2 linked regions of the Caenorhabditis elegans genome follow. The protein of the gene in region 2 interacts with the protein of the main gene of each other region in a pairwise test. Each region holds a gene or a part of one and is shown on either strand. Other genes may lie near its edges.

Evidence for each region.
Region 1: the proteins of com-1 (region 2) and nbs-1 interact in a two-hybrid assay, tested with the Caenorhabditis elegans proteins (one study listed by BioGRID).

The regions. Positions count from the first base shown.
Region 1 is NC_003280.10:11,092,695-11,099,051, reverse strand, and holds nbs-1 (FHA domain-containing protein), read left to right. Parts: upstream 1-2,576; coding exon 2,577-2,619; intron 2,620-2,664; coding exon 2,665-2,795; intron 2,796-2,841; coding exon 2,842-3,116; intron 3,117-3,165; coding exon 3,166-3,227; intron 3,228-3,278; coding exon 3,279-3,501; intron 3,502-3,545; coding exon 3,546-3,900; 3' UTR 3,901-4,004; downstream 4,005-6,357. Other genes in the region: nuo-1 (NADH dehydrogenase [ubiquinone] flavoprotein 1, mitochondrial), read right to left, coding at 1-114, 237-881, 950-1,110, 1,159-1,207; rpl-36A (Large ribosomal subunit protein eL42), read left to right, coding at 1,853-1,964, 2,018-2,162, 2,375-2,435; rpl-42 (NAM-associated domain-containing protein), read right to left, coding at 5,232-5,413, 5,462-5,533, 5,741-5,816, 6,100-6,198.
Region 2 is NC_003281.10:10,893,574-10,904,011, forward strand, and holds com-1 (DNA endonuclease activator Ctp1 C-terminal domain-containing protein), read left to right. Parts: upstream 1-2,789; 5' UTR 2,790-2,854; coding exon 2,855-2,908; intron 2,909-3,413; coding exon 3,414-3,719; intron 3,720-4,449; coding exon 4,450-4,789; intron 4,790-5,415; coding exon 5,416-5,696; intron 5,697-6,668; coding exon 6,669-6,725; intron 6,726-6,829; coding exon 6,830-7,189; intron 7,190-8,031; coding exon 8,032-8,211; 3' UTR 8,212-8,263; downstream 8,264-10,438. Other genes in the region: athp-1 (PHD-type domain-containing protein), read left to right, coding at 1-2; fbxb-87 (F-box domain-containing protein), read left to right, coding at 1,116-1,195, 1,259-2,159; Protein unc-119, read left to right, coding at 9,075-9,135.

The DNA of each region.
Region 1 (6,357 bases), on a different chromosome or scaffold from region 2:
ATCCCATCCACCGATGACTCCACCACAATGACGCTCGATAAGATCTTTCAATGGAACGGACATCTCTTCTTCGACCGTGCATGGATTGTTGACTTGACCGGAGATGCAGAAAAGCTGAAATTTCGGTTTTTTTTTTAAATCAAAAATTGAAATTTTAAAAGAAAGAAGTGAAGAATCGAATTTAAAAATTGACGTTGAATGCTCCACTTTTGAATCATTATTCAACATTTATTAACCTTGGTTCCGCGATTTCTCTCACGTCCAAACGAAGCGAACCAGTCACCACCACGACGACAAATTGTTGGAGCCACAGCTACAGTTTCAACATTGGTCACAGTTGTTGGACAACCGAAAAGTCCAATGTCAGCTGGGAATGGAGGCTTCAGACGTGGTTTTCCTTGCTTTCCTTCGAGCGATTCAATAAGAGCAGTCTCTTCACCGCAAATGTAGGCTCCAGCTCCACGATGAACGAAGACGTCAAAGTTGTATCCAGTTCCGAGGCAGTCTTTTCCGAGATATCCGGCCTTGTAGGCCTCGTTGATGGCCTCTTGAAGAATACAAGCTTCATTGTAGAACTCTCCACGGATGTAAATATAGGCGGCACGAGCTCCCATTGCAACTCCTCCGATCAAGCATCCTTCGATGAGCTTATGTGGGTCGTGACGCATAATTTCACGATCTTTACAAGTTCCTGGCTCTCCTTCATCAGCGTTAACAACGAGATATTTCGGACGTCCATCGAATGGTTTGTTCATGAATCCCCACTTCATTCCGGATGGGAAACCGGCTCCTCCTCTTCCACGGAGACCAGAAGTTTTGAGTTCTCCGAGAATCCAATCAGATCCTTTTAGAATGATTTCCTTCGTCTTGTGCCAGTCTCCCTGAAAAATTATAAAATTCGTTTAAATTGTCGAATAGATTATTTGAAAATAGGCAAATAAATACTCACACGAGCCATGGCTCCTTTCAATCGATAATCATGGCGACCATACAAATTGGTGAAGATACGATCACTGTCCTTCAAATTTCCGAACGATGTCTTCTCTTGTTTCACTTGAGCGTTCGCATTCTGGGCTGATGTCACGACTCCGCGCACAGCCACCTTCGGCACTGAAAGAATAGTCTTAAAACAATTGAAATTGAAATTTAAGCTCCTACCGTTCTGTCCAATTAGCCTAGCCCCAAGAGAGACTGCTGCCGAAGCCATCCCTGAAAAAAATAGTTGAGATAAATGAAAGATCGATGGAAAATCTGCAAGCACAATAAACATTTCAAACAATAGCTTTCCAGTCAATAATGCTACGAAAATTTGAAAAATATCTATTAAGCTGTTTAAAAGTATTATTTTATTTGCATATATCAAGCTTTTCAATTAAAAAATCAGTTGATTCGTTGAAAAATCAGGCAAAAAATAGAAAATAAAATAAAACCGACGTTCCAGCGGTCGGAATTTCGGAGTGTCGTTTACTAAACTTAAAGGCGCACGCACTTTCGCTTTTGGCGTCTCGCAACGAAAGTGGCACACAACAAACGAGTGGGACAGTATGGCTTTTCAGGCAACCTGTGAATTTTAATGCTGGCCTACGGTTTTTTCACGTTTTTTCCCGAGAATTTCGGAATTTTTTTGATAAATTGGACTGAAGAAAAATCTGCAATTAATTCTGTGCTCGTTCCTGGAAAATCTATCTTCAAAATTCGATGAAATAATAATTTTTTGGTGAAACCGAATTTTTGTTGGTGAAACTTATTTTACAGCCGTTTAACTCTTGATTTTTTCATTACTCACACTCTTCATTCAATCTGCACTTATATCTCCTATTTTCTAGTAATTTTTTTACAATTTCCAGGTAAAATGGTCAACGTGCCAAAAGCCAGAAGAACCTTCTGTGACGGCAAGTGCCGCAAGCACACCAACCACAAGGTTACCCAATACAAGAAGGGAAAGGAATCCAAGTTCGCTCAAGGTACGTTTTAAATTAATAATAATAATACCATAAAATTCAACGTTATTTTTTAGGACGTCGTCGTTACGACAGAAAACAATCTGGATTCGGAGGACAAACCAAGCCAATCTTCAGAAAGAAGGCCAAGACCACCAAGAAAATCGTCTTGAGAATGGAGTGCACCGAGTGCAAGCACAAGAAGCAACTCCCAATCAAGAGGTTCGTTTTTATTTTGTTTTATTAAAAATTAATTCAAATGAAGTGTGTTTTGTCGTATTTTTTAAAAGCTTGTTTAGGAATTTTCAATTTAAAAATTATACCTGAAATTCACCTGATTTCACCTGAAAAGCGTTCATTCTTGACTTTTATTCAAAAACATTAAAAAATGCATTATGTGATGATCTTACATTTATATAATTTCTTAATTTCAGATGCAAACACTTCGAGCTCGGAGGACAGAAGAAGTCCCGCGGACAAGTCATCCAGTTCTAAGCTGTTAACTTTGTTGTTGTATTCCAAAAATAAACGTTTTTGGTTTTTCCTGTGATTATAAAGAACCATGTTGTTACTTTCAGAATATTATATTTAAGAACTGGGTATAATCAGAACGTCTTTTCAAATTTTTTTTTGTAGATGCCCATCAATGGCATAAAAATCAAAAACTCCTCAGGCGAAGGTATAGATTTATTTCCTCTGCGTTTACAGTATTAATTCCTTCTAGAGGTTTATGTGTTGAAAGAGAAAGGCTCCGTGGTCAACTTCGGTCGGGAAAAGAAAGTCTGTCACATCACATTTGATCCTCATGCCGCTCGAGTTTCAAGAATTCATGCGAGCATAGAATGGGGCGATGAGGTATTATTATTGAGTGAAACAGCGTAGAATATAATTAATTTTGTAGGGTCTATTTTTCACCGATAAAAGTAAAGAAGGAACCGAAATCAACGGAACACGATTGAAACAATCTAGTCAGGAGCTTCACGAAGGAGTGTATCAGCTTGCGATTGGTGGAATCTCTATGACTCTGGAAGTTGACGGCGATGAGCTAGAAGAGACGGTCATAGATTCTCCACAACCCGATGAATCCAGTACTGTTCCGGAAACAGTTTATGAAGAATCTCGATATTCAAATTCTAGCATCAAAGAAATGCCAGCTGTTGAGGTGACCGACGACGAGTAATCCGGCTAAAATAATTTAAACCATTAATTTTAATTTTATTTTCAGTTTTGACGATGTTTCATCTATCTCCACATTCAATATTACCAAGTTTAATCCAAGTAGCATACGTAAGTTCTGTACTATTCTACTAGTAATATAATCTAAATGCTCTTTTCCAGGCAAACGAAAACCAGAAGGCGATGTGTTTAGCATAGATCGGCCACGTGGAAAAAGAGGACCGATTTCCTATCGTCCGCGTATGAATTTCGATGATGAAATGGAGAATCGTGGAAGTAGAGGCCCAAGAGCACGTAAAGCAGATAAAAGTGGCGTCTTCGACGAGGAAGCTCCAGCGAAAAAAGCCAAGATAGCTCCTCAAGCTTCTCAAAGTCTCATAAAGAAGTAAGATTTTTAAATTAATAGATTTCAAATACAATGTTCTCCAGTTTTTTCAGACCGAAAGCCCCTTCCGCCGTGGAGCCAGATGACGTGGAATCCATCGTGAGCCAGGTGGCAGCTCTTCCATCAGTCAGTCGGGAACCAGAAGAGGAATCGGATGATTCGGATCTCTCCGATCGAGGACCGGCCGCGTTAAACGAGACCATCAAATATTGTAATCTGATTTTTCAACAACCAAATAGTTTCAAAAAGAACGAGACAACATTCGACTCAAATGTTCCGAATTTTAAAAGATTCGTTCCAAAAGGACTCAGAGATGGGAGAACATCTGCCATTTCGATGCACAGCACGACGACATGCAACACAACAATTTCGATGGTCGACTCGAGAATTGTGCACTGAACCAGAATCTCTATTTTATTTTATTTTTTAACAAAAATCGATCATGTATTCAAAACATTCCCATATGCTCCCAATATACCGTGTGAATAAAAACTATTTTATTTAGAACACACTTCTTCAAGCGCACAATACTTTGTGTGCCATTTTTCATTCCTTTCCAGTTCCAAAAGAGCAGGCAATTACAGTCGGGGCACGAGGCAACTGCTCCGGACACGAGCTATCTATCAAAAAGTGGTGGAGCGCTCTACATGGAGAGGCGCCTTTTTGGTTTCTGGGAGCCTCTTCTTTTTTGGCTCTTCTCGTTTCAATCAAACCCTCATCGCCACAAATGAATGAAGAATGTACGCGTGTTTGAATGAGTAACGGCAAGCCCATTTCCAAAATTTTTGGGAATTTACACGCTTTTTTTTGTTGCAATACATGCTGAAATTCGAAATTTGTCGAACATTGCACAATTTTTGAACCAAAAATACGGCTTCAGGTCTCGGCACGACAATTGTTTGTTAAATGCGATTAGGTGTGCACCTTTAAAGATTACTGTAGTTTAAAACTTTTGCTTCCGCGCAATTTTTAAATCGATCATTTTATTTAAAATATAAAACTATAGTTAACTACGAAAAATCAATGAAAATTGCGCAGAAGCGAAATTTTAAAATTACAGTAATCTTTAAAGGCGCACATCTACTCGCAGTTAACAAAAGTTTGCCGTGTCGAGACCAGGTACCGTATGTTTGGCGCAAAAATCTCATAATATGATAATAATGAACTGAGCAAGCCCTTCAATTCCAATTGAATAGCACTTGAGCATTTCCACGATTCACTGAAGAGAACTTCAGTTCTTTTTCAACGAAACAATTTTCATAACAATCGTTCCGAGACCCAATGTTTCTCACCAATTTGTAATCGGATCTCATTCAACATGTCTTTTCTCACAAGTATGAATAATTAACGTCCTTCCGGCAAGTTCAGGTGTTATTTTCACACCCAACTTTTAGCGTTGGAGCGCGCTTGCATCTCGATTTCAAATGGCGCATTTTTCTGCTTACAGATAATAATTCAATAGGCGTACTGTAGAAGTGTAGGGTTACTGTGGTTAAAAAAAAAGAAGAGTACAGAACATGACTTTATTCGGTACTTGTGTATTATTTCCCCTCATTTCAATAGTATCCATTTTAATAAAGCGTGATGTCATTTTCCCTTTTTAGGCTTAGAAATGGTTATTTCCTAAGCCTAAAAATACAAAAACTCCACACGTTTTTAATAAAAAACTTGTTTTTTTCAAAATGAGGGGAAATAATACACAAGTACCATTTATTCAAATCTAAAAAGCTCTACAAATAGTCCATTGGCCCGAGCTGCACAAGTTGTTCATCGAGCATCTCTCGTTTTTTCTTTTCAACCTCCAACTGCTTCTTGAGATTTTCTTTCTTGAACTTTTCGATCTCCATCTCCATTTGGATATTATCCCACTTGAGCTTGTCGAGCTCTTCCTGAGCCTTCTTGAGGTCATCTTCTGAAAATTAACAAAAGCTTATAATCCAGTGGGAAACTTTAAAATTACTTGACATTGGAGCAGAGACGACACTGGTTGAAGCTCCGACCTGTTGAGCTACCGTATTTTGCACAGAGTTACCTGGATAAGAGTAGAATTTAATTATTGTACTAGTTTCTATTCAAATTTGTCAGTTTCTCGAAAATTTTCAAACTAATAAAGAAGACAAATAATTGAAATTTTTCACACAAATAAATCAAAAATTGGGTGAAAATTTTCAATCATTTTTTTCCGGAACTTCTGAAAATTCACCAAAGCCTAAAAGCCAGTGGGAAATGTTAAAGTTACCGGAGATCGAAGCAGACGGGGCTTGAGCCGGATTTGCAGCAGCAGCAGTGACTTGCGAAGTGGCGTCCTCATCGACCTAGAAAAATTTTTCAAACGTTGAAGTCGGAATCGATAATTTTTTGAAAGAAAACCAATCAAATACCAATCACGGTGTTTTTTCCACCTCTAGTTAGGGTAACGTGACCTGAAAAATTTTTTCAACCGCTTGGAAGGGGTAGTAAGAACATTTCTTCCTGAGGGAACGGGAATGGAAAAGAGTTCCCGTTTTAAAAACAGGGGCATTATCTATCACCTCATCGATAAACAACGGAATTCTGATTAGGGCAACATCGTATAAATGCTAAGAATGGCTAACTTACTGATCTCATCCTCGCTTCTTCTCTCTTTCTTGCTTGGGTAGCGCGTCCTTTCTTTAATCCAGCTATCGAAGCTTTTCTGCCTTTCAATACTGGAGCCATCTGAAAAGTTGGTAAATGCATATGCTCAGGAGGCAATGAGGCGACTTACCCTTATATTTTGTAAATTGTATTTCAATTAGACCAAGTTTAATCAAATACCGAAGTAATCAAAAAGTGAATCGATTTGTAAAGTTTAACGAGAAAAAAATTAGGCTTACG
Region 2 (10,438 bases):
AATTATGTGATCTCTTACCTCTTTTTTTCTGTCCGTGAATATCACGTATTTTGATTTTGAAATTTTTTTATGTGAAATCGTAAAATTTTAATGATTCTTTTGGGTGTTTTTTTTTTTGGAAAAAAAAGATTTTTCCGGCAAACGACACGTACAACAATTGCTGAAATTGAAAATTTCCGGCAAATTCGGCAAACCGGCAAGTTGCCGAACTGCAATTGCCACCCATCCCTGTTGTGGGTGACAATCATTTTCCAAAATTTGAAATTGAAATGTTCAAAAAAAAATTGAGCAACGCAGGTTCTACTCCTACAACAGTAGGTGTATGGAATAAAATACTCAGGCAACTCAAATCTAATATGAAAATATTAAATAGCAATATTTTTGTAGTAAATACGAGAAATAGTGCGTCCATATAATATTACTAAAAATTTCGAATAGATTTCGATTGTCTCAAAATATTACAATTTGATCTCAAAATATTGCGAAATATTCTCAAAAGATTGCTCAATCTAAAAAGATTTCGAATAAGTCTCGGAATATTGCGATTTTATCTTGAAATATCACCCAACTACAAAAATATTGCTATTTAATATTTTCATATAAGATTTGAGTTGCCTGAGTATTATCTAAAACTTTGGGAATATCATTATGAGTGGTGTTGCTCTCGCTCTAACAGGATAAAATATCATATTTCCCAGAGTTTTCAATTGGTGTCAGAGTGTCCCATTTCGGTTTGATCTACGAGAAGCGCTGACGTTACGGTTTTCTGTACAAAAATTTGTAGATCAAACCGTAATGGGACAGCCTGACACCACGTGAGTTTGTCCGGTTATGCCCTGCATTTTGCAAATGTTATGATATTTATAATTTTTATAAATAACATTTTTCAATTGTGGAAGACTGTTAGAGTTTCTTCTGCCAAATGTACCTCCAGAATTTTTTATTTAGATGTGGTTAATGTTCATATCTCTGACCCCATGCCTGCCTGTGTATTAGTTGGAGTGGTCAGGACCAGTGTACATCTATAACGTATGTAGTACCCATTATCTTTTTCCTAATCAATAACCTGTTGGTTCACCAAGTCATTCATTTTCTTATTCATTCTTCTTACAACCATGATGAGAGGTTTTCCAATTTTTCGATTACCGCATAAACCACTACGTTTATTGCTGAAAACTATGGAGGTGCAAGATTTGTGAGTGCATTTTTTTCCCAACTGGAAACATAAATATTCTTATAAGTAGAAACAAGTTTTCAGAGTGAGGATATCGTTTTATTCAAAAACTGCCAAACATGCTGTTGAATCGTTGAATATGAAGCTCATATATTTTTATATAACAATTTCTGGGACAATACAATTTGATATCTTCACTTATAATATGGAAGATCTCAATTTGAAATTGTCTGTGACACAATCTGAAGGAAGGAATTTGATTCGAGTGCACGGTGAAAAAGTAATGACAGGAATCAGTTTGCGGGAGTTTATAGATCAAATTCTTACAATATTCCATCAAGCAACTATTCATAAGCTATTTATTAAGCATATCGACTACGATTATCTAGAAGAATTCAATAATTTGAATATTCAACTTTTACACCTCGCGACTAGGAGCTCACTGAAACATTTTGCAAGACGATTCGATTTTCTAACTTTAGAGCAAATTACTTGGGAAACTCGAGATTTCCAGTCACTTGTGGGCCTCAACTTCAAACATTTAGAAACAAGAAGCACTTTTAAACTAGAAGACTTACTCGTTTCAAATACTTCTCAAATACTTATTCATGAACCATTGCCCCTAACAGATCTATGCATATTTCTAAAACATTGGATCAATGGATCAACTGAACGGCTGGAATTATTCCATATGCGTCTTCCTCAAAATTTTCAGAAGGAAGAATTTATTCAGAATGCCTTAAGTGGTATTAAATACAAAAAACTGGACGTCGACCAAAAACTGGAGTTCGAAGCAGCTGTGGATGTATGGAAGGACTCACACAGAGAGGTGAAAAACGAGGGATTTGGAATCCAAAGGAGCGATGGTACCTACGCAATTATTGTTGTGTGTGATGAGTTTGCAACTAACAAGTATTTGAAGATGTTTGTTTGGAAGCCGATTGATTCAAGTATCGGAGATCTCCTTAAAATTGCATCGTTTTAAATGTTAGTTTTGATTTTTTCTTTGTATTTTTGCGCTAAAATACGGTAAATCTTTTGTTTAATGCGAAGAGGTACGCACCTTTAATGAGTACTGTAATTTTAAACTTATTTTTTGCCGCGTGGTTTCCGTTGCTCGAGCCAAAAAAATGCCGAAGTTATTTATTAGAATTTATTCTTGATTTTAATCGATAAATATATATTATTTACCACAAACCATTTCGACTTTGATCAAAGCTTTGATTTAAATATATTTAATCTTAAATTTCCCGCTGCAAACGCGCTCGCTGACACGGCGCAGAGATAAGAGGGCGCCAGAGAAGTTTTGAGAGAAATCATTTTTTTGAATTTTATTTTCAATGTTTCCTGAATTTCAGCTCAATTAAAGCGGAAAATGTTTATTTTTGCAGAGTATCTACGTGGTCACAAGAGGAAACTTGTACAAAATTAATTTAAATGTTAAACATCTATTTTAAAATGATTTATTATTTATTTTTCTGTTGAATAAATTGAATAAACTTAAATCTTGAATTTAAATCGTGAAATTTAAATCGTTTTGTAATTCTGGTTGCCAATTTACCAGTTCATTTCTATTTTATTAACAATTTCCGCACAGATCATCAGTTTCCCTTCCAGGAATCCCAAAAAATGGACAGATATTACGGTAGCCACGTGGCAAATTCAAGTTTTGACTCATTTATGCAATCTGTGGATCCATTTGAGCCAACACCGAAACGAAGATCCACTGGAGAGGTAATTATGCGAAAAAATCCGGAAAAGCTCGAACTTCAGAGGTTTTTCCAGCTTTTCAAGGAGAATTCTTGAGAAATTGGAAAAAACATAGAAAAACTGGCAGAGTTTGCTCAAATTTTTGTATATAAATGACTGCCTTTGTCAATTTTTGCAGAATATTGTTGAAAATCGAACAATTTCATCAAAACATTGCTGAAAATACAGAAAACCTGAAAATTTCAATGTTTTTCGAGTTTTATGCAGAAAAATGCGATAATTTTCGCCTGAAACTCGTTTTTTTTCAAAAAATCTTTTAGAAAATTGAAGTTTTGAGTATGCTAAAACAATAAATCAATTTTTCCAAAAATTTGCGCGTCAAATATGGTGTATTAAGTACGCAATTAGAAGTTGTGCAAACACCACTAATATTACACCATATTTTACGCGCAAATGTGAATATTTTGTCTTAAAATTGCAGTTTTTGAAAAAAAAAAAGGTTTTTTTTTCAATTTTCTCAAAATTTCAGTCGGACAGCATCGCCCGAGCCATCAGAAATGCTTTGGATCCCGAGCTACAGTACCCCCAGCCATCAATCGATATTTTTGGACCGTCTACATCAAATTTTGGAAATTATGAAGAAAATGATGAATCAATTCTGGCAATAGTATCCTCAACACATTCTTCACAAGAATTGAGCACAACAACGGATAGGGAAAAACCGCCGAAAAAAGTGAAAAAAGAGAAGAAAATTGGAGAAAAATTCCCGATTTTCAACTCCAAACCGGCGCATCAGCCGATTATGGATGATTTTTTATCACCTGATGATATCGAGGTGATTAATGGGATTTTTTCTATAAAATCCCGGAATTTAAGATAAAAATCTAGAAAAAAAGTTTTCCATTGAAAATTAGAGTTTTGACTTATAAAAAAATCGCGACGAGACCCATTTGAACAAAATGCGTGCGCCTTTAAATTTAAACTCTGATTTTGAAAATTCATTAAAATTTGAATTTTAAAAATTTTTCGGAAAAAATTGCATCAAACTTTTGATATTCATTCATTTTTTCTTAAAATTGGTTGAAAAAACTCAAAAAATTCTTAATTTTTCAAATTTTCAAGTTTTCTGATTTAAAATTTTTCTTTACGTTAAAAAAATTAAAATAAACTATAAAAAATGCTTCAAATTCTTTGAAAAAAAAAATCAAAAAAAAGACCGATTTTTCTTGAAAAATCCAATTCCTAAAAACCTTCTTGCTACAAATTCTGCAAAAATTCAAAACTCACAGAATTTACAGAGAAAATAAAAGCTCAAAAAATTCGTATTTTTAGCAGAAATTCAAAGTTCTAAACAATTTTGCGCGTCAATAAAATTGGATTTGAAAAAAATTAACCTGAAACTTGTAAAAAAATTATTTAAAAAAAATTTTTTAAAAAATCGCTCAATTTTAATATTTTTTGTTGAAACAATATGGCTAAAATTTCTAATATTTAGAGCAAATTATCAAAACGGTCCAAATCTCATAAAAAGTTTCTGAAAAATTCCAAATTTTCTGTATTTCCAGCGCTACCGTAACCGTCCCCGGAAACCATACGTAAAACAAATTCGAATGGACGATTATCTATTCAAAGCCCGTCGAATTGATAAAGGATCACGAGAATTTGGATTACACACAACACACGAACCAAAACGTGGAAGCAAGAAAAAACGGGATTCGATTGAAAGTCTTGAAGTTGAAAATATTCAGAAACCATCGAAAAAGCACAATGAGCAACATCAAAAGAAGCCTGAGCAACTCGATTTCACACTGGCATTCACTACGCCGAGTCCGGCAAGAAATCGCCAAAAAACTTCGAAATTGACAAAGTTTTTCGAGAAAAATCCATCGAAAACTTCTAATCGAGGTGAATATTTATTTTCAATTGTTTTTTTGAAAATTAAAAATTCAAAAAAAATTATTTAAAAAAATCTGGAAATTATTGGAAATAATTTTTAGTTTTTTTCGAACATAAAAAAAACGTGTTTTTTGCTTAAATTAATTTAAAAAAAGATTCTCTAGAAAAGATTTCCGCTTTTTTTGAGATTTTCGAGAAATATCGAATATTTGAAAAAATTTCATTGAAATATACGGAAATGAGCTGGAAATTTAAAATTTTCTTTTTTTTTTTAAACGAAAATTCGAAAAAATAATTCCATTTATCAGAGAGTCGGTTCTTTAAAAAAATTTTTAAAAACAGAAAATTTTAAAATCGAGAAGCAAATATTTCCCATATATATGGGAATCGAAACAGTAAAAAATATTTTCTAGATCGTTAAAATTTCAAAAATTTCCGTTTTTTCAGAGATTTTTAAAGAAAATCGAATATATGAAAAATTTCATTAAAGAAATAGAGAAATGAGCTGAAATTTTGGGATTTTTCGATTTTTTTTAATTAAAAAAAAATCAGAAAATCGAGAAAAAATTTCTTGATTTTTTTAAAGATTTTCAACAGCAAAATAAATTAAAAAATTAAAAAAAAATTATTTCCAGATTCGAAAATTGAAAACCGTTCGAATTCTTCATCTATCATGTACAATGATCCATCTGCCTACTCAAATGATAGTATTTTGGATGATACAATTATCTCCTCAACACCTCCTGATAAATCATCATTTCTCGCTGAAACTATGCCACTAGCGACACCAAGTCCCAAGAATTTGACACCAAAAAGAGCTCTTCCGACTTCTAGTGCTCGATCGATATTCGGACACGTTGTGCTGCCGAATCCGATGAAACGAAAGGATTTAGGTGTTCTGGCAGCAGTGGAGAAGGTTGGAAATTTCTGAAAATCTGGAATTGGAGAATAATTGTGGTCTCGCAGCGAAGATTCTAAAAATAGATAAAATCAAAATTTTCTAAAATTAAAAAATGCGGAATTTTTTTAAATTGCATTTTTGAACCCAAATTTTTTCGAAACGTTTTGTTCATAAAAAAGTTTGTAAAAATTCAAAAAAAATTTAAAATTTAGAAAAAAATGCAGAAATTGCCCAAAAGCTAAAGAACAATGCAATTTTTTTAATGTGAAAAATAAACACAATATTGAAAAAAATAAATATTTGAAAATAATTCAGAATTAAAAAAAATCAAGCAACTGTTCAATTTTTTAAGGTAAAAAAAAAATTCAAAATCAAAAATATTGTAAATCTATAAAGATTCACGAAACTTTTTTATTTAAAAAAATTCTGAAAAACTCTTAAAAAATTATTTTAAAATTCCTATTTTTTTAAAATTTCAGAAAAATTACAAATATGTATTTTTTAAAATTTTTTATTTTCTATTTGGAAAGATATAAATTCAGAAATATTTAGACCTTTATACTGAATTTTTGTCAAAAATTGAAAAAATCAATTAAATCCCAATTCCAAATAAATTTAATATCAAAACACTTAAAAAAATTTTTTAAAAAGGTAAATCTGTAAAGATTTGGAAACCTTTTCATTGGGAAAATTCTGAAAAACTCAAAACTTTCTTTTGGAGTACAAATTTGAAAATAAATTCAGAAAAATTACAAAAATGTAATTTTTAATTTTTTTTTCCAATTCAAAAAGTTAAAAAAAAAAAGAAAGAATCGAATTTTTAGATCAAAATTTTTTTTTATTGTGAAGAAAAATAAATTCCAAAAAAATACTGAATTTTTGTCAAAAACAAATTCAAAAAATTAATTAAATTTTTATTTCAAAATGAGCAATATGAGAAAAAATTGTGCACTCAAAAATTTAAAACTTAAATTCGATTTTTTTCAGGACCGCCAGCCATTGAAACAAGCGAAACGTCAAAAGACGACTGGCTCAAGTAAAAAGGTAAAACTTCTCCCATAAATTGGCTTTTCGCTACGTGGCCGCGAAAAAACTCGGTCACAGGCACATTTTTCCTCAAAAATTTCTGAAATTTCTGAAATTTTCAGCCAGAATTCGACTATCCATCGTCGCCAATCACACTTCACGATGAGCAGGAGGAGCAGGATCTGAAATTGAGAACACCCGAGCGAAAGACTCTGCAAAACGAAGAGGCGCAGAGAAAACAATTCGGACGCCACATGTCAGAACGTGAACAACTCATGAAACAACTGGTAGATCAAAAGTTTCGAGAAGAGCGAGAGAATGGAGATTTAGAGAGTCGAAGGGCTCAATTGAAGGATGGACAAGTGATTCGGAATAAGGAAATGAGGAAGAATTTGATGCACGGAGCCGCGTGCAAGTGTTGTAGAGCTTATTATGATGGTCTCGAGATGGATGAAAAGGAGAAGGAACAGTATATTAATCAGGTGCATATTATAAGACTGCCCTGGAATTTTCAAGAAATTTGGAGTGAAATTTTCGGAAATTCAGTCAAAACTCTATATAACCAAATTTTTTCAAGGTTTTTAAAAAATCGAATATTTCAATTTGGGTTTTCCAATTTTTATATTTTTATTTTCCAGTTAGCTCCAAAAAAAAAAAGATTTCTTGAAAAAAATTTCAATAAAAAAGTTTTAACGAAACTGAGGTTTCACGTGGTGTCAGAGTGTCTCATATCGGTTTGATCTACGTTGATCTACAAAAAATGCAGGAGTTGAGACGCAGACTTCTCAACTTATTTCGCATGATTAAGAACGTGCTGACGTCACATTTTTTGGCCGAAAAATTCCCGCATCTTGTAGATCAAACCGTGATGGGATAGGCTGACACTACGTGAGGTTTTTAAAATTCAATTTTGCAATTGTCATATTTTCCAGCTTGTTCAAAAAATATTCAAAAAGTGAAAAAGTGATGCGAGGTTTTTTTTTTGGTTTTTAATAAACCCAGTTTATTAAAAAAATCTTATTTTTCTATTTTCGGGTTTTCAATTTTCCTTTTTTCATACTTTTCGAAATCTTAATTTTCTTTCTATTCGGGTTTTTTTTTAGAAAAAAAACATATTTTTCGGTTTTTTCAACTTTTAGATTTTCTGGAAAAAAATTCGACAAAAAGTTTGAATAGAAATTAGAGACAATTCTCCTCGTGGAGTACACACGAGCTGCGTAAATCGACAAAACACCGTCATTTCAAAAAGTGAAATTCTGAGCGCCACCAAAAATCCCCTTTTTTCTTTTTTGCAAAAACCCCGAAAATGTTAAAATTTTTCCAGATCAGTCGCCACCGCTACGTGCACCAACCACTTCCAGACACTCCAGAACGGTATTGGGATTTGACAATGGGACCACGAGATGAGGACAGCGGAAATCATGTACAAATGACACAGAGCCGACGATGGGAAGATATAGCAGAGAAAATGGAATGGCCGACTGGAATCAATACGTGGAATTAATTGAAACATATCACTTCTTATTTTATTTATTTTCATATGAATATGTGTATTTATTGATTTTTTAGCCAAAAAACCTCTGTGGCCTAGTTTTACAAATCCTAGGGCACATTCTCAAAATTAGCGAATATTTCAAAAAGAACGATTTCTCTGGAAAATCGCACAGTTGGTGTGCGCAATTTTCACAATTTCCTCGTGGCCGAGCTTTGAAATCTTAGGTCATGATTCATGATATTCTCCACTAGAACTCACAAACACATATTACTGGAACTGAGAATGCGTATTACACAACGTATTTGACGCGCAAAATATCTCGTAGCGAAAACTACAGTAATTCCTTTAATGACTACTGTAATGTCGATTTACGGGCTCAGCGATATTCAATTTTCTTTAGTTTTTTTTCAAATTGTTATTTTTCACCGATATATAAATTATTTCCGTAAATCAACACAACCGCTACAGTACACGTTTAAAGAAGTACTGTAGTTTTCGCTACGAGATATTTTGCGCGTTGATTGTAAAATCGAAACAAAAGAATAATAATAATTGCTCTGAAATTAGATTACTCCTGCTCAATTTCGTTGCTACATATTTTTATGGCTCTTTTTCTCTGGCTACTCCCCTCCTTCAGTCATAATTCCATGCTTTGTCGGCTCGACACGGCTCATTTTCACCAATTTTCTCGCTGAAATTTGAGTTTTTAGATTTTTATTCATGTTTTAGTTTTCAATTTTGAATTTGAATTCCAAAGCCACGCACATTTTTTTTGCAATTTTTTAGAGTTAAAATAGACATCTCGCAGAAAATTTGAATTACCCGCCAAAATTTGTTCACAAAAAATTTGAAATTCTGTTTTTTTTTTCAGAATGACCGGCGGAAATGAGCAGCGGGCCGGAACCGCCAAAGGACGACGTGGAGCACAAGACTGTGAGCACTTTTTCCATTTTTTTTTAACCCAAAGACCTTGAAATGACTTAAAAAATAACGAAAAAACAAAAATAATCACCTGGTATTTGCTAAAAATAGTTAAAAGTGTTCCTATTTTTGGAAAATCTGTCTGAAAAAATATGTTTTTTTTCTTCTTTTTTGAAACATTTTTAAACATTGGCAACGACACTCCAACATCCCGCAGCTGGCCGTTGCTGAAAAATTTCTAGGCCTCGAGTGACGTCACTACTGATCAGTCTCAGGCCACGTGAATTTCTAGGCCACCGATAGCGTCATTTCTTTTCCAATTGCGAGCACACCCAGGACAAATTTGAAATTCTCTTCCATTTGCGTTTACAAAGTTTTCTAGGCCATCGGTGACGTCATTACTCTTCCAATAACGGTTCTTCTGCTTTCTAGGCCACAAGTGACGTCATGGCATTGCCTATGCCATTTTCACTCTTCCATTAGAAGCTGTGGAGGTTTTTAGGCCATCTATGACGTCATATATATATATTTTTTTTTCCATTTTTCACAAATCCCAGTTACTTTTCACAAGCCGGATCGTCATTTACAAAACGAAATAAAAAAGAGGAAATCATGTTATTCATGTTTTTAGTTCCTCTTCATCACATGCACACTCGCTTCTCTTCCTCCCTCTATTTAGTATGTGCCACGTCTCTTTTAAGCCCCCGACAGCTACCCCTCCATTTTTTCCCTCTCGTTCCTCTTGACATTTTGCTTTTCGTTTCCGCTTTTTCTTTTTTGTCTCCTTTTTCTCGTGTCTTATGTTCTTGGAAGGAAGAAGAGAGAAGCTTTATAATCACCATGGTAACGGGGGTGCTCCGCGAGCTCCAAGAACAACGCAATTAGTGGAAATGAGAACAAGAGAAGGGGGCTTAGAAGCATCCTGAAATGTGTGTGGAAGAGGAATGACTTCATAAGTAATGCTGGCCTAGAAACCTTCAAAACCTCCCGTGAACGAGAGATGACGCCATGAATATCAGTGCTCGGAAACCTCACTTTCAGTGACCTAAGATTCTGCACGGCCACCATAATGACGTCACTAGAAGCCTATAAAATGCAAGTGGCCTAGAAACCGTCCAGGGTACGGCCAACAAAAAGTGGCTAAAAAGATTAATAGCATCATATTTAATAGATGCTATTTATATGATGACTGGCAACAAAAGAATGCCAATTTTCTCTCCAAAAGTAGCTCCAAAGTTCGGTGGCCTAGAAATCCATCTACGGCCGCCTACATGACGTCACTCATAGCCTAGAAACCACGGGCGACCAACAATTT